Drosophila melanogaster: one gene and its partners. The protein of the gene in region 3 purifies or fractionates together with the protein of the main gene of each other region. This does not show direct contact. Each region holds a gene or a part of one and is shown on either strand. Other genes may lie near its edges.

What was found.
Region 1: the proteins of Rb97D (region 3) and mahe purify together in Drosophila melanogaster (affinity purification with mass spectrometry, with the first as the bait; one large-scale study listed by BioGRID). This does not show direct contact.
Region 2: the proteins of Rb97D (region 3) and Tet purify together in Drosophila melanogaster (affinity purification with mass spectrometry, with the first as the bait; one large-scale study listed by BioGRID). This does not show direct contact.
Region 4: the proteins of Rb97D (region 3) and ZAP3 purify together in Drosophila melanogaster (affinity purification with mass spectrometry, with the first as the bait; one large-scale study listed by BioGRID). This does not show direct contact.

Annotation. Positions count from the first base shown.
Region 1 is NC_004354.4:7,928,139-7,933,093, reverse strand, and holds the start of mahe (maheshvara), read left to right. Parts: upstream 1-1,711; 5' UTR 1,712-2,220; intron 2,221-2,778; 5' UTR 2,779-2,791; coding exon 2,792-4,300; intron 4,301-4,537; coding exon 4,538-4,955. Other genes in the region: Dhdds (dehydrodolichyl diphosphate synthase subunit), read left to right, coding at 1-557, 800-1,045.
Region 2 is NT_037436.4:2,876,133-2,881,032, reverse strand, and holds the start of Tet (Ten-Eleven translocation (TET) family protein), read left to right. Parts: upstream 1-1,874; 5' UTR 1,875-2,500; intron 2,501-4,900. UniProt on the Drosophila melanogaster protein: Dioxygenase that specifically demethylates DNA methylated on the 6th position of adenine (N(6)-methyladenosine) DNA.
Region 3 is NT_033777.3:26,871,519-26,877,951, reverse strand, and holds Rb97D (ribonuclear protein at 97D), read left to right. Parts: upstream 1-2,209; 5' UTR 2,210-2,339; coding exon 2,340-2,408; intron 2,409-2,548; coding exon 2,549-2,778; intron 2,779-2,850; coding exon 2,851-3,095; intron 3,096-3,161; coding exon 3,162-3,881; coding exon of another isoform or gene 3,882-3,885; intron 3,886-3,935; coding exon 3,936-4,087; 3' UTR 4,088-4,092; exon of another isoform or gene 4,093-4,273; 3' UTR 4,274-5,823; downstream 5,824-6,433. Other genes in the region: ro (rough), read left to right, coding at 176-410, 783-1,059; ms(3)K81 (male sterile (3) K81), read right to left, coding at 1,442-1,996.
Region 4 is NC_004354.4:10,079,467-10,084,467, reverse strand, and holds the start of ZAP3 (ZAP3), read left to right. Parts: upstream 1-1,975; 5' UTR 1,976-2,163; coding exon 2,164-2,535; intron 2,536-2,596; coding exon 2,597-5,001. Other genes in the region: CG2972 (uncharacterized protein), read right to left, coding at 1-1,086, 1,146-1,220.

The DNA of each region.
Region 1 (4,955 bases), on a different chromosome or scaffold from region 3:
TGGACGGTAATCGGAGGTTCGCCCGCTCACAGCAGATTGATAAGATCGAGGGTCATTCGCGGGGATTCGAGAAGCTTGCGGACTGCCTGCGCTGGTGCCTGGACGTTGGCGTCCGCGAGGTGACCACCTTTGCCTTCAGCATCGAGAACTTCAAGCGTTCCAACGAGGAGGTGGAGGGTCTGTTCAATTTGGCCAGAGAGAAGTTTGCCCGCCTGCTGGAGGAGACTGCTCGACTGGACGAACATGGCATCCGCATTCGGGTGATTGGTAACATCGAGCTACTGCCACACGACTTGCAGAAACTAGTGGCTTCGGCTATGCTTAGCACGGAGCGCAATGACAAGCTCTTCCTGAACGTCGCCTTTGCGTACACGTCGCGGGATGAGATTACGCAGGCGGTGGAAACGATACTGCGGCATGGCAGCCAGGATTTGGCGGGCGAGGACATCAGTGAGCGGTTGCTGGAAGAATGCCTCTACACGCGACACTCGCCGCCACCGGATCTGGTGTTCCGCACCTCCGGCGAGACTAGGCTAAGCGACTTCATGATGTGGCAGGTGTGTAGAAGGATCTCTTCCAGGAACAGTTGTTTTTAGTCACCCCCTTTGGCAGATTTCCCACTTATTTAGTTTGATTAGTGATTAAGTAGTTACCTGTGCCCAATGTTCATTCGTTGAATTTCGCTCTGCGATTGCATCATTTTTATAAAATGCATTTAAAAATTGAGATCTTGACAGTTTTGCGGTCTTTGATAAAGTGGAAAAGCTTAAATATTAAACGACTGTTTTTACCATTTCAGTTAAGCACATCCGTGTTGTACTTCAGCAACGTCCTGTGGCCGCAGATCACTTTCTGGCATTTCCTGGCCAGCATTCTGGCCTACCAGCGTGATCGCTGGCAGCTGGACGACTTTCGGCGAGCGGAGAGGATGCAGAGCTGCCAGCTGGCCAAGGCGACTGACTTCTACAGCGAACGCGTCCAGAATTTCCTGACCACCATCGATGAGGATCGGCGGAAGCTGCTTGTGCGACTGGCCGCCAACTAAGTCCCTTCTGAAGTCCCGCCTGAAGTCCCTTCGATTTCCACATGATGATGATGTTTGTGATATCAGTGGGGAATAAAATCGTGTAAATAGCGTATACCTGTACGTACAGATGCTACTGTTTTCCGGCCTATGCAATAAGGCTATCCGCCTTTCAATATATGTGCCGTTGGAGATTTCATCACCTAAATGCACTTGTTTAAGACATTCAATTAATTTGTAGCCGAATTGTGGGCTTAGCTAGATTGTTTTCACTTTCGGTCGTAAAAAGTGTTTGCCTTCCATTTGATAAGTAAATTAAAGAATTAAAAAAAAAGCAACAATTTGTTTAAATGTGGAGGGGGGAAAGGAATAATTCCAAATTTATGTAAATTGCAATATAACACCCACTTATATTTGTATATTTTATATATATGTACATATGTGTAGCCTTTTAAGAATTGGTATCACAAAACTTTTTTTACGTGCTTAATTTATTTTTATCTAGATATCATTCTTGTATTTTTTATATATCAATTTATTTTGGTAACTCGCTAAATGTTTTTTAATTTTAGTATTTGTTGGTTTTAAATTTTAGCGGTAAATTAAGTGCAATAATGGTTAAACAATATTTATCGATAGTTTTGCAGGTAACTATCGATGCCAAAATACATCGAACGTATCCCATCACCATTGACTTTTGTTCCAGCTTTACAGTTCACATGCAACTTTCTGCTGAGCGCGTTTTTTTTTGTTATAAAAATCTAAAATACAAGAATTAGATTTAGCGAACTGGCTCCTAGTGTTTAACCAAGTACACCTTTAGTTAGCATTACGGTTACTTTCCCGTGGCGAAGGAATAATTGCAAAACCATTAGCTCTCGACAAAAGTTGTGCGAAGCAAAAAGAGAAGTTCGCGAGAAGAAGACGCCTGTGAGCGTGACGAAGAGAGCCGAGCGAGAGAGTGAAGAATATCGAATCGAACGGAACAGGGCCTCGAAAGAGAACGTGAAGGAAACGGATCGAAAAATCGCAGACTTTGACAACCGAAGAAAAACCCACATTCAAGACACAAAATTCCGGTTGCCTGAGGGGCAAATGTCAAATTGCGGCGCATAAATTACATTAATTTAAAGCTCCCCGCACAAGGCTCATCCAAATTTTCACACATAGGCAGCAGTTGTCGCAACAGAAAAAAGGTGAGTGCGTGTGTGTGTGTGGCGTGAAAAAGCGGTGCACTTTTTAAAAGTGTTTTTCTAACTAAATGAGAGCGTGCTCGCGCTTCTTTACCTATGCGGCGCACTCTACTTGTGTGTGTGTGGCGTGAAAACGCGGTGCACTTTTTAAAAGTGTTTTTCTAACTAAATGAGAGCATGCTCGCTCTTCTTTCCCTTTGCGGCGCACTCTACTTGTCTCTCTCGCGCCTGGTTTAGCTCTCCCGCTATTATTTTACCTCTTTGCGTCTCGTGTGCATTTGGCGATGCTGTATTGATTTTTTTCGGTGGTGGCTAGTGGGTGGGTTAAAGAACTGCCCCGCTCTTCACCATTCGAAACTAAGTCCCCCACTTCGTCCGACCCCCTCCCTCATGCCATAAAGCCCCTGCCCAAAAAGTCAAACGCGTTTCGTTTCTCTTTTTATTTTTACTCTGAGAGAGAGAGAGAGGCTCTTGACAGTTACAAAAGTGCAAAGTCTTTGTGGTGGTGTGTGCGAGGTATCTCCATGCGATTTCGCTGAACTTTTGTTCATTTCTCGACAGGATTCAGCACACGATGTTCGCTGGAGCATATGCACCCAACGCTGGGGGCGTTCAGCAGCACACTGGCGGCGGTTACTATGGCAATGGTGCCGCAGCAGGCGCTGGCGGTAGCGGCAACGGGGCCCCACGCCACGAGCGTCAATACTATCCGCGCGGCAATTTCGGCGGTGCCGCCGGGGGAGCTGGCATCAATGGAGCAGCCACTGCGGCTGGAAGCATGCACTTTGGTCAGCCCTATGGCGTGATGACCTATGGCATCCAGAATGGTCTGGGAATGGGAGCCGCCGGTTCTGGTGGCGGCAATCCGTATCGCCAGCAAAACGGTGTTGCATTCGCCGGTAATGGACTTGGAGGAGGCGCCGGTGGCGGATCCGGAGGATCTGGCGGATATGGAGGACAGCGTGGCAAAAATCCAACCTACGCACAGCGTTATCAGAAGCCGAACAACGGCGCCGGAGTTGCTGGTGGCTACCAAAGCAATAACTACAATGCTGCCGCCTTAGGCATGCTTTCCAAAGAGGAGCGCGCCGAGATCCAACGTGAAAAGGCCAAAAATCCCGGCCGAAATTTAGTGAAACCCAAGTGGGAGAACCTCGAGCCCTTCCTCAAAGATTTCTACAACATTCATCCGAATACACTGGCCAAATCAGAGCAGCAGGTGGCCGAGATCCGGCGCGAACTGGAAATCACCGTGTCTGGCAATGAACTACCACACCCGGTGGTCAGTTTCGAGGAGAGCTCGCTGCCCGCTCACGTCATTGAAGAGATGAAGCGCCAGGGATTCACCAAGCCCACTGCTATCCAATCGCAGGGTTGGCCCATTGCCTTAAGTGGCCGCGATTTGGTGGGCATTGCCCAGACCGGTTCAGGCAAGACGCTGGCATACATGCTGCCTGCCATCGTGCACATTGGCAATCAGCCGCCAATAATTCGCGGCGAAGGACCCATTGCTCTAGTGTTGGCCCCCACCCGGGAGCTGGCCCAGCAGATCCAATCTGTCGTGCGAGACTATGGACATCTGTGCAAGCCAGAGATTCGTCACACTTGCATCTTTGGCGGCTCATCGAAGGTGCCGCAGGCACGCGATCTTGACCGCGGCGTCGAGGTGATCATCGCCACACCAGGACGTCTGATTGATTTCCTTGAGAATCGCAACACTAACTTGCAGAGATGCACTTATCTGGTGCTGGACGAAGCCGACCGCATGCTGGACATGGGTTTCGAGCCGCAGATCCGTAAGATCATTGAACAGATTCGTCCCGACCGTCAGGTGGTCATGTGGTCCGCAACCTGGCCAAAGGAGGTGCAGGCCCTAGCCGGAGACTTTTTAAACGATTATATCCAAATCAACATTGGTTCGATGAACCTATCGGCTAACCACAACATTCGCCAGATTGTCGAGATCTGTACAGAAATAGAGAAGCCGCAGCGCTTAGTATGCTTGCTCAATGAGATTTCTCCCATCAAGAATTCGGGAAACAATGGGAACAAAATTATCGTCTTTGTGGAGACCAAGATCAAGGTGAGTTCTAATTCGATAAATGGCTTAAAGAATTCGAAATATTCTTTCGATTTACCATTTTAAATTGTATTTGTTCTCTTTTCGTTTTACTTCGAAGGTTTATCAACATATTCTTTGTTTTTTATAGTTGCATTTTACTTGCAAAAATCCGAAATGACCCGTCAAGAATATATTGTTTATGTGATATTAATTAGAAGCACCCCACTAATTATCAACCGTTTTCTTGCCCTTATCCAGGTGGAGGACATCTTGCAGATCATTCGAGCCGAGGGTTACAACGCCACCTCAATTCACGGCGACAAGACCCAGAATGAGCGTGATTCAGTGCTAAAGGATTTCCGTAACGGCAAGTCCAACATTCTGATTGCCACCGATGTGGCTTCGCGCGGCCTCGATGTCGAGGATCTGCAGTACGTAATTAACTATGATTACCCGAACTCCTCGGAGAACTACGTGCACCGTATCGGGCGCACTGGTCGCTGCCAGCAGCTGGGAACTGCCTACACATTTTTCACGCCTGACAATGCCAAGCAGGCCCGTGAACTGATCTCTGTGCTCGAGGAGGCTGGCCAGACGCCGTCGCAGGCTCTTTTGGATCTTGCTCGTTCGATGCCCAGCTCGGGCGGCTATCGCGGCAACAAGCGCTGGAACAACA
Region 2 (4,900 bases), on a different chromosome or scaffold from region 3:
ATACTTGAAATTGGCTAATAAATCTTACCCCTGTTTTCAGTGTATTACATTTATCATTTTTTTTTTTTTTTTTTTTTAATATTTTATTTTTCTATTCATGTTCTGTGCGCACATTTCATTCATTTTTCAAATACTTCTGCAGCACCAACTGTCAGATACATTTCTGGTTTCCTTTGCCGCACGTCTTTTTATTGTGGCTGCTTGCAGTGTGAATGTCCTTTGCTGTCCTCACAAAGGACACGCAAAAGCCAAATAAGAGCGAAAAAAGTAGAAAAAAACGCAAAGAGCGGAATGCAGAAGAACGAAGAGAGACTTGCAGCAGCTTCGAGTGCAGAAAACCCAACTATGAAGAACTTGTCTGCGGATCGTGAACTTAAGAACTATCTAAGAGGAGAAAAGGCCGGCTGCATTTTGTTGTTTGTGCAGATGTTTCTTCGAGGTTCCTCGAGGGATTTTATGGGTATGCGTTGCGTATGGGACAGGTCAGTGTTCGGAGGATTCGGATTCAGATTGAGATTCGGTTCCGGAGGATTCGAAGTCGGTTAAGGGTTGTGCCCCTAGGTTGAATGATTTTCCATTACGCAATGCAAATAGACAGCAGCGTTCCGCGTACTCGCTTTGTTTTGTTATTTTCTCTGTCAGCGCCAGGCAACAATGCAACTGTCAAGGTTTCCATTTTCCGCCGTGGATTGCTCTCTATGAAATGGCGAAAAAATGGCAGCTCCACTAATAGTTGGCATGAAACGAGGTTGCAACAGGACCGCCACGAGAAAAAAGTGAAATGAAATCAACCGCCCCCGCTCTTTGCGCAAAAGTAAAAAAGGGGCAAAACATGGCAGGCAAATTGTACCAAAATCCCGCAACGGCAGCCAGTGCAATGCCAGGATATATGGCACATGCCCACAAGGTCCTGCCTCCGTGTCCTGCGTCCAGCGCAGCAGTGGCAGCAACAGCACCGCAGCAACGTCCACGGCACCGCAGCAACAGCAGCGGGAAAGTAAAACTTATTCGGCTGGTCGAACTGCGAATGCCCTGAATTTCGAAACACATTTTGCGAGCTTATCTATTCTGATAAAATTGTAAATAAATCAATAAACTATACGCCAATTACCATATAATGCATGCTTGAATTCAATGTGCTTAATTGCTAAGTAAGCTAAGTAAGCTCCTTGGTTAGGGTATCAAAACAAAGGCAGCAGAAAATATCTCGTAGCGCACATAGATTGCAAGTTCGCATTGTGAGCGCGAAACTAGGGAAAAAAATTTTTAATTGGAACAACAACTGTACAGCGGCGCAGCAGCAGCAACAACAACAAAAGCGCACTTCAAACGCCGCATGTTCGTATCCGTGTCTTGTTGCAGCTGTGTGTGTGTGTGTGTGTGCTTGTGTGTTAATGAAAGAGAGAGGATGCAGCCGTAAATGTAACTGTGTGCGTGCGGCTGTGTGTTTGTGTGTGTGTGCCAGGACTCTCGAGCCAAAAGTTGCAGGCGCAACAGCAACAAGCAGCAGTTCGAAGTTAAATATTTAAGAATTTACAAAACTTTTTAGGGAACATAAAAATAAATACAAATTTCAAAACGAAAGAATCTTGCTCTTCATCTTTTAATGATGGTCAAACTGAAAAATAATATATTTTACGAATGACTAATAAGCACAAAAATAAATTAAAAATCATTTCTTAAAAATGCTTAAGTATTGAATGAATTATACAATATAAAACCGCTAGTTAAGAGAATTCGGTCGTCATGCTTGTTGTATTCTTAAGTTCGAGTGGAGCCCGCATTGGTTCGATGCGAACATGAACCTGTTCGCTTCGAGCACGAACTTGTTCGATACATTTTATGTTTGCTCCTTCATTTTCATTTTCATTTTCAGTTCAGTTAGTTCAGTTGTTGTGTATCCTTCGGGTGAAAAGTTTCCTACAAAACACGGACTTTTGCACCGCCGCCGCCGTTCGAGCGCTAGAAACGAGTGCGAGTGCGTGTGAGACTTACTAGCTAACTAACTGATTCTGATTCTGATTTTCGGGAATATACTATCCCTTCGGTGTGGGTGTGATCGAGTTCAAGGACTCGCGACTAACTTGTTCCAGTTTCGAAAACAGGCAGCCCCAAATAATGTGACCAATGTGACCAGTGAATTAGAATATCCAAGAGCAAAACAAAATCAAGAACTCCCGCAGATGCCGCACTTGCAGCTCCAAGTTCTTCAGCTTTTCATCCAAGTCCCGGTTTAATTTGCAGCTCCAGTTTCGCGCTCGGTTCTCTGGGTTTCCCTGCAATTTCCGCGATTTCCTTCTTTTGTTCCCTTCGTTCCGTTTTCGCGTCGCGGTTTGTTATTGTCAACTTTCGTTTTCGTGCGGTTTTTCGCGGCTTTTCTAACGGTCCAACGACGGTCGGCAAATGGATAGTGAAACTGGCTTGGATTTCCAATAGCTTCTAAGTACTCAACATTTTCCGAGGAAAAAAACTCGTGAAAGGACATGGATTAACAACTAAGGTTTGTAGTAGGGATTTAACAATATACATATATTTAAGTATATATAAATCGGGATGCTTTATGTATACCTTTTATCTATATATAACTATTCTGCGTATATAATCATTTTATTTGTGGTACCAAAGAAAATTAAATAAATGGTTTTTTTTTTTCATTAATTAAGCATAGCCATCAAACAAAAAGACAAATAGCCGCATACAGAACATAACTAACTCTTTGAAAACGAATCGTAAGGAACGTTTCCAAGAAACCAAACAGAATGGCCATATCCCTTTCATAAAACCGACTCCAATTAATAAAGCCAATTGAGCAAATGTATAAAAATGTTGAGCTCCAATCAAATATAAAACTCTACGCTTTTGTTCCTAATCCCTCAATTAAACTCACCTCTCGACCGAAAGCCAAAGAAAAACAAATTTCCAATTGAAATTTGCATTTGGGGCACAGGAAATACTTTCCAAGCGTAAACATGTAAACAAAGAGATAACAATTGTTATTGGTCATCCGAGGATCAAATTACAATAAGTGCAAGCTCAAAGAAGACCCAAAAAACAAAATCACAATCACCTAAGCAGGCAATTTCAGCGAGCTTTATTTGTGCAAGACAAATAAACAAAATAAAATAATAATATTACAGTAAAGGCAGAGGCTTCTCTTTTTGGACCGCAAACACTTATGGCAATGAGTAATGACTTTTAAAAGAAGAACTGTTTCTGATAGATACATTTTGCGTTTGTCTTAGCGCCAACTTAAATTAAAAAGCAGCGGGCTCTGAACTTCTTCTGGTTGTGAAGAGTTGAGCCGAGGCCCTGAAAACGTGCCAGAAAGCGACACACAGAGATACAAAGATACAGATACTCGTAACTAACAGTAACGTGCGTACATCTTCAAGATACTTTTTGGCGCGCTCAGAACAGAAGCGCCGAAAACAGAAAATAAAACAAGGAGAGTACATGGGAACGAGAAGCACAACAGAAAGCGAAAAGCTAAGAACACAGAAGGAGATACTTGTGCTCCTACAAGATACAGCTACAGATACAGATACATGGCAATAAAGAGAATTTAAAGAAAGATAAATAATAAAACCAAACAAATTGAGGCGCAGGCCGCGAAAGAAGTTCAAGTTCAGCGAATGTATCTCCGTGCCAGTATCTGTATCTGTTGGATGCAATTTGTCGGCCGCCTGCAAGTTTATTACCGTCTTACCCCCAATGAATCTATATATAGCTGCCATATTTTGTTTACAATTTTCCGCCGCCCACGATTCATTCATAAAACACATCAGCCCAAAATAAAAGTTGGCAAAAGGACACGCAGGCAAATTAAGGCTTTGACCTAGAGAAAAATAAACAACACCCAGGATATAACCCCTGCCCCCGTCCTCCCCCCCTCCACACACTCGTTAACAGTAACGTGCGTGACTTTGAAAGCAGGCAAGGCAAATGACAAACTCGTAAATCTCAACACACTCACGGGAAGTGGGTGGTGCGTTTTTTTTTTTGGGATGTGGGTGAAAATGCGAGGCATAAGTGCCCCTACTCCCATTCATATACGCTTAATACTCAGCCGCGTATGCCTGTCCATGGACTCCTTGCATGGCTTCATTGGGCCCCACAGCACGTTTCATTTCATCCACACCTGCACCGCCGCACCACTCCGCGCACAACCCATCCCCACACCCAAACACCCAAACACCAATACCGCCAAGCTTCGGCACAACTCAATTTGCACGTGACACAACGAGGAACGAGATGTGGAGCAGGCACTGCCAGGCGAATTAACTCGCGTCAGGAATTTAAAGAAAATATCTTTCAGATACTATATATATTTTTAAGCATTCAAGTTCTAAGCTAGAACGAAAAAATGTTATATGAGAGCTTGAAATTAAGTTTTCGTATTAATATTCGCCATCATTTATAATATTGTAATAACTTGCCTTTAAGAAATTCAAACAGAGAACCGACAGAGAATAGTCGCTTAACTAAAAACAATTTTATTGCATTTGATGGCTTGATAAACAGCTTTCACTAAATTGCCTGCGTTCCATAGTATTTGTCTTGACTTTCAAGCTACCTTCCGCACAATATAAACTCGATTAAGTACATCCACCACCTTCGCAAGGAATGCAATTTCAGCCGTCTAGTTCGTATCATTAACATAAAATGAAATAATTTCCCCACCCATTTGCCAGTTTGTGGGGCTTCTTGAAATGCTACCCGGCCGAAATGATGCACCCCACCGAAAGTGGAATGGAATTTTATTCATTAACTTGCTGCGCTGCACATTTGGCAATTGTATAACATGCATAAATATGCAAACTTATTATGGCCCGAAAAATAGTTTCGCAATAGCGCAGTGCTGGGGAAAAATGTTAATAAATATTTAGCCCAACTGCTTTTG
Region 3 (6,433 bases):
CTCCATTGTGTTGGACATAAACGAAAGTGGGTGGGCTGTGAAAAAATGATGCTATCCGACGGATGTCGTTATTGTACACACTGAATGGTGCGGGGTTTACATAACTAATAAGCTGATTCCAACTAGATATTATACACGTATTAATTGTAAGGATATCAATGTATTTGACTTTCAGTGGCTCGCAGGCGACGCAAGGAGGGAAGACAACGCCGCCAGAGGACCACTTTCAGCACAGAGCAGACGCTTCGCCTGGAGGTGGAGTTCCATCGGAACGAGTACATCTCCAGGAGTCGTCGCTTCGAGCTGGCCGAAACGCTGCGCCTGACCGAAACGCAAATCAAGATCTGGTTCCAGAATCGCAGGGCCAAGGACAAACGCATTGAAAAGGCTCAGATCGATCAGCACTACAGGTGGGTTTCCCCTTTAGCTAATTTGAATCGTTTTTTCTGTTTCATATGTACAAAGATATCATCGATTTTGATTGAGTTAAATAATATTAAATGAACATAAATTAATGGTTGATGAATAGCTCGTGAAGAGGATTTTAACTGGGTATTTATACCTGCATTTTCGAAACGGAAGTAATTTAGTGAAATGTCACTAGTTTAATTGATGGCCAACATGAAATTAACACGAAATTAATTTTACGACATTTATGCGCACACAGACCCAATTAGACGATATCATTTTTTTCCATATTTTTTTTTTTTTTTTTTTTTTTTTTTTGTGCCGGAGGGGGTTGCTCGAAATTATTTTGTACATTGATGTAATCAATTTTTCAGAAACTTTGTCGTGGCCAATGGTTTTATGAGCTCTATAATGGGTCAGGCTGCCACGACCATGCCCCCCGGAGGCGTCACTGGGGGCGTGGCGGTGGGCGTGGGCCTAAACTACTATGCCGCGGCAGCGACGCCGGCAGCGCTGCCCAAGGATAACACGCAGGATGCCAATTTCATCGACATCGATGACCAGTTCCAGCGCCAGCAACAACAAAAACAACAACAACAGCAGCAGCAGCAGCGACGTCGAGAAACAACAACGCCTATTAACATTTGCTAATACTTGCTAATTGATTACATTTATTTGAGCTTTAAACTGTTTAGATTAAGATCGAATAAAAGTCATTGTGAAAACATAACAGATTGCAGGAATTGCACTTTTCGAAGAAATCACTCACTGCTTGCCAACAAACTTACGTGTGTTGTTATGGACTCAGCATTTTGCACTTGATTTATTTATATAAGAGAGGGTTTTTGAGGGAAAACCAGGAAATTTGTTAAAAACCAAACAGCAAAACTAACAAACAATAATGCAGCCCTGGTGCTCAGCCAGCTGTTTCTGCTGCTAATAACATGGCGGAAACTATCGATAGATGGTTACATAGATGGTAACAGTGTTATTTCAAATTTAATTTATGAAAATATCCTAAATGAAACAAACATTATCCCCCAGTAGTTCCCGCCAGATAAATGGCCATAGCTTCACGATTTAGATGCACAAACTGGCGCCTTTTCGGAATTGGTTGGACATTCGGTAGCCGCGTTCCATTCACGGCATTCAAACTCAGATTCGAGCTGGGATCGTAGTCATCGGAGAAAAGTGTATCGTCGGAAGAATTGGACTCAACCAACTGGCTTCCTGCTCTTTGAGCCGCCGCCGCCGGCGCTGCGCTAGTGGTTGATTCTTGCTCCTCCGAGGATTGTGTTGTGGACACACTAGCCGCGGACTCATGAGATTTCTCACTACTGCTCCTCGAGAGAATAGCACTGGCTGCCTGTCTATTTGCCAGGTGTCTCTTCGCATTGTTGTTCTTCAGCCGGTAGAGCTGGATCAGTTGCGTGTAGCACGAGAGGCACAGTGGCTGAGACCGCAGCTCCGAGTTTATCAGCTGGCCAAACTTCAGCAGGTGCGGATTTCTGATTACGCGGTACGGGGACCTCAGCGTGTGATTCCCCAGACCGCACAAGCGGTGCTCCTCATGGGGCGAATCCGACATTAGAACTTAAGTTGAATACTCAATTGAATGCATAAAGGGGCTAGTATACGTTGGCGGTTTTCGCTTTGCTTCTGAAAAACTATATTACAATTTGACAGCTATCGCATATCCAATTCGTGTATGTATTTATTATTACGATAGTAAAGAAACTTGGCACTTTAGAAATTTCAAGAATACCCCTAACCAACTTATCGATAACAAACAGAGAGAGTGGGTGTATCGAATCAATGATTCGCTTCCTGACAGCACAATTTTCACTTCGCTTCAACCGTTCGACGTGCAAACTGGTCGTTTTCGTTTCTTAATTTCGGTTAAATTTAGTGATAATTAATTTGCTAACACAATGGTGAAGGATGAGCCCCTATCGGACGAGTCCGCCGATGTGATTGTGCTTGCAGATCGCGAGGAAGATGTAAGTACATACGCGTACCTTTCTGTGCATGTATGCGGCTTGGCAAGTGACGCACCTATATTTGTTTCCCTTCACACATACCACCCTTCACCACATGCCAACCCACTTGGCTAACCCACTTACCACCTCTGCACCGGTAGGACATATGCGAGCTGGAGCACTTGCGTAAGCTCTTCATCGGCGGGCTGGCCCCGTACACCACCGAGGAGAACCTGAAGTTGTTCTACGGCCAGTGGGGCAAGGTGGTCGATGTTGTGGTGATGCGCGATGCTGCCACCAAGAGATCTCGCGGCTTCGGCTTCATCACCTACACAAAGTCTCTCATGGTCGACAGGGCCCAGGAGAACCGTCCGCACATCATCGACGGCAAGTGAGTATAGACTTGGTGGGGGATCATATCGTACCAAGAATAGATCTATACCATGAGGCCTTTCGCTTCCAGAACTGTGGAAGCCAAGCGTGCTCTGCCCCGTCCCGAACGCGAATCGCGCGAGACCAATATATCCGTGAAGAAGCTGTTCGTAGGCGGTCTTAAGGATAACCACGATGAGGAATGCCTTCGTGAATACTTCCTCCAATTCGGGAATGTAGTCTCCGTTAAATTGCTTACTGACAAAACCACTGGCAAGCGTCGCGGCTTCGCCTTCGTCGAGTTCGACGACTACGATGCAGTGGATAAGGCTATCCGTAAGCATAAAAGCTAAAATGCTAAATATTAGATTGATATTAATTATGAACCTTCATCCCGTTTAGTTAAAAAGCAACATGCGATTAAGTACGTTCACGTGGACGTCAAGAAGTCCATTTATAACCTGGACAAGAAGGAGAAACAGCAGCCAGGTGGGCTGGCCAACGCCATCAAGCCGTCGCTCAATCAGCAGCAGCAACAGCAGGGTGGCGGACAGCAGCCACCTAATGGCAATATGCAGGCACCTAGCTTTCGACCACCAGTGCCGCCACAACAGGCCATGGGCCCCTACCAACAACAGCCACCACCGGCGCCTATGTCTGCTCCACCACCAAACTTCAACTACTGGGGACCACCTCCGCCGGCTATGCCGCCCTACTACCAGCAGCCACCGCCGCAGCAGATGAACGGCTGGGGTCCATATCCGCCGCCGCAACAAAATGGCTGGAATGCACCACCACCGCCACCACCGGGTGCCCAGCAGTGGCACGCCAACCAGTGGGGTTGTCCTCCACCAGTGCAACAGGTGCCGCCGGTTGGAGCAGTGCCACCACCCATGGGTCACAATGGACCACCGCCGACGGCTCCAGGTAACTGGAACATGCCGCCCCCAGTGCCGGGTGCAGCTCCTCCATCCCACCAGCAGCAGTCTTCGCAACAGCCAACACCACAACCAAATTTCGGCACTGGCTATCAGCAAAACTACGGAGGCGGACCATCCAAGCACAACAATATGAATGCAAACCGCATGAATCCTTACTCGGCAGGTCCGCCCAACAGCTACCGTAGGTATAATCCATTATTAAAGACATGTAATTTTGAACAGCTACTAATTGTAGACACTCCTCAACCACCAGCATATACGGGCTACAACGCTGGACCACTGCCGCCTAATGGAAGCGTTCCGCCGCCAACTGGGGCCAAGGCTGTTGGCGTATCCAATGGCTCCGTGGCCACTGGAGGCAGTGCCAACAGCAAATATCGCCGCTAGATTGGGTGAGTAGCCGTACCCGCCATTAGTCGTTTCTTTTGAATGTGGTCTATGCATAAGAGCTACCTCAAATACGTCTTGCCACGAATATATCCATATACGCATATATTACTCGCCATTGATGCACTACGTCTGAAGTACTTGTTTATGTGTAATTACTAATGTCTAAAATTCTCTTTGATTTAGATGCTCTTTGGGCGGCTAAAGCTCAAGAATCAAGACACTCTTTAGTAAGCTCGTTCATAAGCTAGGCCACACTCGCTTAGAGTTACTAAGCAGGAAACTTAACGCATTGTCTCTCTATCATAGGACAACTAACTACGATTTTACTGTACACTTAAGCTATACCATTGATTACCCTACGATTGACCTAAGCTATGGCAGACTATATATAACTATTTTATACAACGTATTGCGAGGAGCGAGCACTTCTCCAGTTCGAATTACTCTAGACATAATTATGAAACTCTGTATCGTAGAAGAATGCCCAAAATACGATACGAAATTACAACAGGCTCTCTATTTAAATCTAAACCTCTCTCTCTATCTGTAAAACAAGAAGAAGGATTGTGCAATGGTGGAGGATGGAAGAACAATTGCCAATCAAGATCAATTAATTAGACATAAATCACGGAGCTGTAGCCTGAGCTTATTGGCCCAAAACAAGTAGTTTAATCGTAGATGCCTATGTATTACCTAAACCATTCAAATAAGAAGATACGTCCAAACAAAAAAAACACAAGAAACAAGAAACAAGAATATAAGAATCCGGAGCGAAGTCGGATCCCAAATCAAATCAAATCATACGCAGGGCTGGCGGGCGTGGCCTTAACTATTAATGTACACAAGAGATGATATCAAAACAAATGTCAATTTTTACAAGAAGCAAGAATCGGACACTTATATACTGTATTAATGTTAAAGGTTTCTTATCTCGTCGCCCACGATGTTAATTCATATACTACATATATCTCTTCTTATTTGTATATCATGACGAACTCAAAGAAGTGTATATACCCGAAAAAAATGCGAAGAAAATGTATATGCTTTCGGATTAACTAGACTTACGATTTATTCTCGACTCTCTCCTATTATTAAGCTGTTGTGCACGCCAAGGGCTTTGAATTGATCTTTATATATAATGCAGTACTGAAATAAGAGAGGTCTAGTCCACAATTTGCAAGATTCGTTATGCTGCATTATCGAGATACAATTTATCACTTAACCGAACTCTATGAAAACCCATACGCATATTTATTTTAAATAAATACAAATTAAAAACAACACTATGTATTTGTTTTAGCTGACGATATGTAAGTCTCTTTCTCTTTAGCGATAGCATAAACTATATTTAGTTACCGTTATGCCATTCTAGATACAAACAAATATCGCTCTAATTTTAAACATACTCTACTCTACAAAATACTCTTGAGACAAAGTTAATTCGTAAGGTAAGTTAGTAACGGATCTCATCTAGGATAAACTAGAGTTTTTATAAGTGCTCTTAAGTTTCTAACTTATGTGTATCTTGTTATCGAATCTTTATTACGCTTTTCTAAGCAAACAACCTATTTCTTTTCCAAAAAAAAAATAAACCCCCGGAGCAACGCTGGAGTGGCCTATTTCAAAAGACCAAGGCTCAAGTTTCCCATAAACTATGAGGTACGTAGAAGAGGACACGATTTATTTTATGTGTTGAAAAGCAAGAAACCAATAAAAAAGAGCTGCCAAAATCGAAGCAATCAGTGTTTTTATTCCAAGCGAACATGTTGGGAGCCAACACGTTGGAGGCGACACCAAAACCATGGGCAGGCAGTGCTCCATGCTCCACTTTGGCGATCCGTAATCATTCCGAAGCTTTTCCACAGGCAAACAGTCGCCTGCCATCCGCCAACGCGATTAGACATTTGAAGGGAAACACTTTTTCATTGAACGCACAGTGAGTACTCACGCAGAGTGAAACAAAGGATTGAGTGTCGTAATCGGATTAACAAAACAAGTGTGTGACATATGCAGATACAGATACTTTGCTTGTTCCTCAAATTTCTGCAAGCTCAGCTCTGGCTCGAGTTGCTCAAGTTCAATGTTCCTTGCTCATTGGCAAATAGTCAATCAATTGGACTTTATTTTCGATGAAATCAGTTCGTTAATTGGTCAGAACTGAGAAGCAAAAGTAAGTCCAGTGATTTGCAAGGTCAACTGTGAATTGCACTTCCGCCAATTCAAGTAGATTGTATCTGCTTTTGGTCCACTTTCATTCGCGATGCATAAACATTGCATCTTGGACACTGCATCACGTCATTGTTTCTAGTTTCGTCGGCATAATTAAACAAACACATGTGGAAG
Region 4 (5,001 bases), on a different chromosome or scaffold from region 3:
GAAGCGAGGCAGGCTCTGATTCTTGTACTTATTGGTCAGCGGACGGCGCGTATTGATGTGAATCACCTGGCGACCGTTCTCGTCCAGACTGACGGCCACACGTTTCAGCGTCTTGTTGCCACAATTGGGGCAAAACACCTTGGTCATGATGCTGGTGGTCTTGTAGCACGCGTAGCAGCGGAGTATATATGTGCGCAACTGCTTGATGATCCGGCCATTGAGGGCGGCCAGGTGGAGATTTAGCTGCTTGAGCACGTTCTGCAGCGCATAATCGGTGGTCATGCAGGCGACGGGCGGCACTTCATCCGTTTCCACTTTGCCCTCGAGCGCTTTCTTGGCCTTCTTGATGTTTGAATGCGTGATCCAGCCATCGTCACCCACATCCTCGTCGAGATTTTGGCTCTGTTTGGCTTCTTGTGGCTCGGATACCTCCTCATCTACTTCGGCCGGCTGGGAAACGAGCAGTTCCGAGAGCTCTTTCTCTTCCTCGGCACTGGGTGCGCATTTGAGCTGCTCGAACAGCTTGTCCAGCTCCTCCTGACTGGGCTCCTGGTCTTGGTCCTCCTCCTTTTCGATGGTCTCGCTGGCAAATGGTTCCTTGCCGGCCAATTGGGCTTCGATGGCGGCTTTAACAGTGTCTGGGGATTCATTTGCCTCCTGCTCATCGCCTTCAGCATCGTCCTCTTCCTGGGAGTAATCATCTTCCTCCTCGGAATCCTCCTCCTCCTCCTCTTCGCCCTCGGGCATGTACCAACCGACCAGTCTCTTGTTATTAGCATCCTGCATCTCCTCGGGTTTATCCTTGGACGCAATGGTCTGCGCCATCACAGGCTCCTGGCGCAGGTGATCAGTGCCCACGTTGTCTGCTTCCAGTTCGTAGGTGAGCGAGATCACTTTCAGATCGATCCCCGAGAGACTCGCGTAGTCACCCGTTTTCTTGGCGAACTCCACGCAGTGTTTAATGCTCTCCGGACGAGGCTCGCGCACCTGGAGGTCGAAGGGCAGAACGCAGAGGCGGCGAATCTGGCGCTTGTTGCGCACTTCGGCCACCACATCCGGCACGGTGAGCACCTGCTCCGCGTATTCCTGTAGGGGATTAGTGGCGGCTTTAGATGGCTCGAATGGGCAAATTGTGCGTGACTTACATTCAGGGGCACGGCGTTTATAAAGGCTGTGGTGTCCGCCACAAGGAACTTGATCTTTTCGCTCGTTTCGGCCATTTTCAGTGCTAATTTTCACATGAAAAACAAAGGACGGCAAAAAATAACAATTTCTGCACGTGTCGCGATTAGTGTGGCTGTAGTGAGCTGTGACCGTTACGTTAGGGTATGCTAAAAATACCAAAAAGTGTTTATGAATTTGTGATTTTAATATTAGTTAATTAAATTTTACATTTTTAAGAGTTAGGCAAAGCTAAATGAATGCGTTCCCTAAAATTTTATTGCTAGCTCTCAATAAAATTGTTAAAATTAATTCATGTTAAAATATATTTCTATGAGATATTATATTATTATCACAGGGAGATATCGGTCCTGACTACTTAGACTTTCGGCCGGACTGTTGGAAAATTACCAAATTTACTTAACAAACTACAAAAAACATCAGTTAAACAAAATATCACTTGACTTAACTTATATTAACATATTTACAGATATGAAAAAATGTAGTAAAATGCCTGGTCTGAGAAATCTATTAATTTGCTGCAGATTTTCAAAAAGCTCATTAGAAGGTCTGCCAGTTTGATCTTCTTGTTTATTTTTTTTTTAACATATTTTCGTATTATCAATACAACTTCTACGAATCAATCACTTAAGCAAGCTATCTTTGCTAATTTTTCAATTTGTAGGCTTGTAAGTGCATTGGATTACATTCAAATTATTTTATTAATTGGCAATGGAATATTCTAGGGTGCTTGCGATATATGGATGCACACTCGCAGCACGGTCACACTGCCCGGCCCATTTAGCTGACAGTTCCATCTCTAGTTTTCAAGCCAAATATGGCGAAGTTTTCATTATCAATTCGTTCAGATAGCAAACTGAATTAGTGAAAGGTGGACGATTTTAAACGGAACGGAGCCAATCCGCCGGATTTTGTGAAAGCCCAACCGAGCGGTACAAGTGTGTTATTCGCTAATAGGCTAATCAATCCAGTGGACACGGTATGTGGGGCCAATGGCAAACCGCCGCCGCAGTGGCTCCCACTGCCGCTCTACCTCCGCAACCGTCGGTTCCGCCACCGTTGCCGGACGCCCCGCCCCCTCCGCCTCCATCGGACGCGACCGCCGGAGCCGGAGCATCAAGCGGTGCCTCTGCACCCATAGTCACGACTGCAGCCGCAGTCACAACGGCCCCTGGATTCAACCCCTATAGCAGCGGCCAGGCGACGGGGGCTGGCAACCCCTATCAACAGTATACGGCCGCCCAGTACGCGGCCATGACACCCGAACAGCAGTACGCACTGCAGCACCACTGGCAACAGTGGCAGACATACCAGGAGGAGTACGCCAAGTGGCATGCCCAGTACGGTGAGCAGGTGGGTCAAATCAATTAGTTATCGACGATCATATTGCTATAGTAGTCTTCCAAATCTTTAGTATAAGCGTGAAATGGCCGCAGCCGCGGCCACAACTACCGCAGTTCAAGGCGTGCCCGCGCCTGTGGTAGCGACTCCTGCAGCAGCACCCGTCCCTGTGGTCGCTCCTCCCGGGCCACAGGCCTATCCTGTCGCACATAACTATTACCAAGGTGTCAGCGCCTCGCCGGCGCAGTCAACTACACCCGTAGCCGTCGCGGGAGCACCGCCACTGCCCGGTAAGATCATGGCCCAGCCGCAGATGTACAACCAGCCGCCGCCGCCACCACAAAAAGGCGGTTACAATCAGCATCCGAATGACATCCAAAGCATGTGGTCAGGACCACCGCCAATGCAACAGCCGCCGCCAAATAGATATGGTGGCGGTCAAATGAACCAGATGAACTACAACATTGCCGGGCAAGACAACCAGGGATTTCCGAATCTCCAGCAGCCGCCGCCAAGTTTGCAGAGACCAACACCGCAACAGCAGCAGCCGCATTTAAACCATATGGACCATGGCCAGTGGGGAAATAATCAACACGGTGTGGGCAATAATAATCGTCCTACCTGGGATACCAGTGGTCCGCCGCCTGATAATACCGGCCAACCCAATCGCTGGAATGGCCCGCCGCCGGCAAATGATGTCAACAATCGCTGGAATGGAACGTCATTTAACAATAACACCAATGATGGCAATCGCCGCTGGGATGGGACTTCAAATCAAGCGCCGTCTGGCGGGGATCAGCAACTAAATCGTTGGATGAGCGAACCACCGCCAAGCCTTCCGAATCCCAATCAGCAGTATCAAAACCAGAATTCCTGGATGAGCGGACCACCACCGAGTATAAGTGATCCGCCACAGGACCATCAGCAGCAAAACAATAGCAGCCAGAATGCCCGCTCGAGTCGCTGGCAAGGAATCAATTCCGACATCGATACACCGCCAATGAGGACTAACAACAAGCCAAATAGCATCCAGAATAGCCGCAATAGTTGGGGTGATGGAGGTGGAGATGGAAACCAAAGCAAGAACCCATTCATTAAGAATCCACAGTCCGATTTTGGCAATTATGGCAACAGTTACAATAGCCAAGATCAAGGTAGTGCAGGAGGAGGCAACTTTGGCGGCTTTGGAGATGATAGTGGAGGCAAGCAAAGCCAGGACAGTTTTGCTGGACGTGGTGGAGGACCCGGCAATAATATTAATAATAACTTTAGTAACAATCGCCGCCAGAACAATCGACGGGATAACAATCGTAACCAGGGATTTTCCGATGAGAGAGGCGGTGGGGATTCTGGTCCAGGCGGCTACAATCCAAATCGTGGCAATTACAATCAGCGCAACAGCTTCAATCAGTCGAATGCGCCCTACAAGCAGTCGCAGCAGAACCGCAATCAACAGCAACCACCCGATTTGGACGAGGCCAGTTTCGATCTGCTGTTCGATCAGTGGGAGCAACAGTTCGAAGAATGGAAGCTGGCCAATGCCAACCATCCGGATCGTGACGAGTATCGACGCTACGAGGAGGAGTTCGAGAAGCAGCGCCGTCGCATCGCCGAGAGAAGGGAGCAGATGCGCCGACGTCGCCAACTGCAGATGGGTGGTTCGGCAGGAGGCTCGACCACAGACATAAGGAAGGAAGCAGCCGCAGGTGCATCCACGACCGCGGAGCAGAAGCCAAATAAGGATCCCTTCGAAGGCCAGGGCCGTTTTGCCGATCAGGGTGACCAGGATCACGGATCGGGTCCCAACTTCGGAAACGGGAACAGACAGTCCGGAAATGCTGGTCATTTTGGAAAAGAGAATCGCCCCTTCGAAAGCGCCGGAGTACCTGCATTCAGAGGCAACCAAGGACCGCCACCGGGGATGCACAACCAGTACCAAACCGCCCAGGAAGCCATCCAGCAGATATTGGACGAACAGCCAGATGAATCCAACCAGGAAATTCCAACCAAGCCGGCGGCATCAAATGAAAATTCATCTGATGTAAAGAAAGCAAAAACGACAGCTTCCCCAGTGGCTCCACCGATTGCACCCGTGGTGCCGCCCGAAGTTAAAGCTCCAGCTGCACCAGTAGTGCCAGATCCGACAGTGGTTCCGCCCACGCAGCCTCCTCCGGTTTCCACAAATTATGGCAAGCGCCGTCAAAGAGCTGCTCCCTCACAAATACCCGCTAAGCAAGTCAAGGAGGAGGAGCCCATATTCACCATTTCCCTGGACGACGACGACGACGATGATGAGGAGAAAGAGGTGGTACAGGACGCACCTAACACGCCCATGGGCAGCATTTTCAAGAAGAACGATGGCATACCCGGTCTGGATTTGGTGGACGATGGCAGTAACAAGAATAATTCGTCCTCAGTCTTCAATGTGGTGCTCAAGGATTCCAGCGAAAAGAAAGCGGCTGATGAAACTGAAAAACA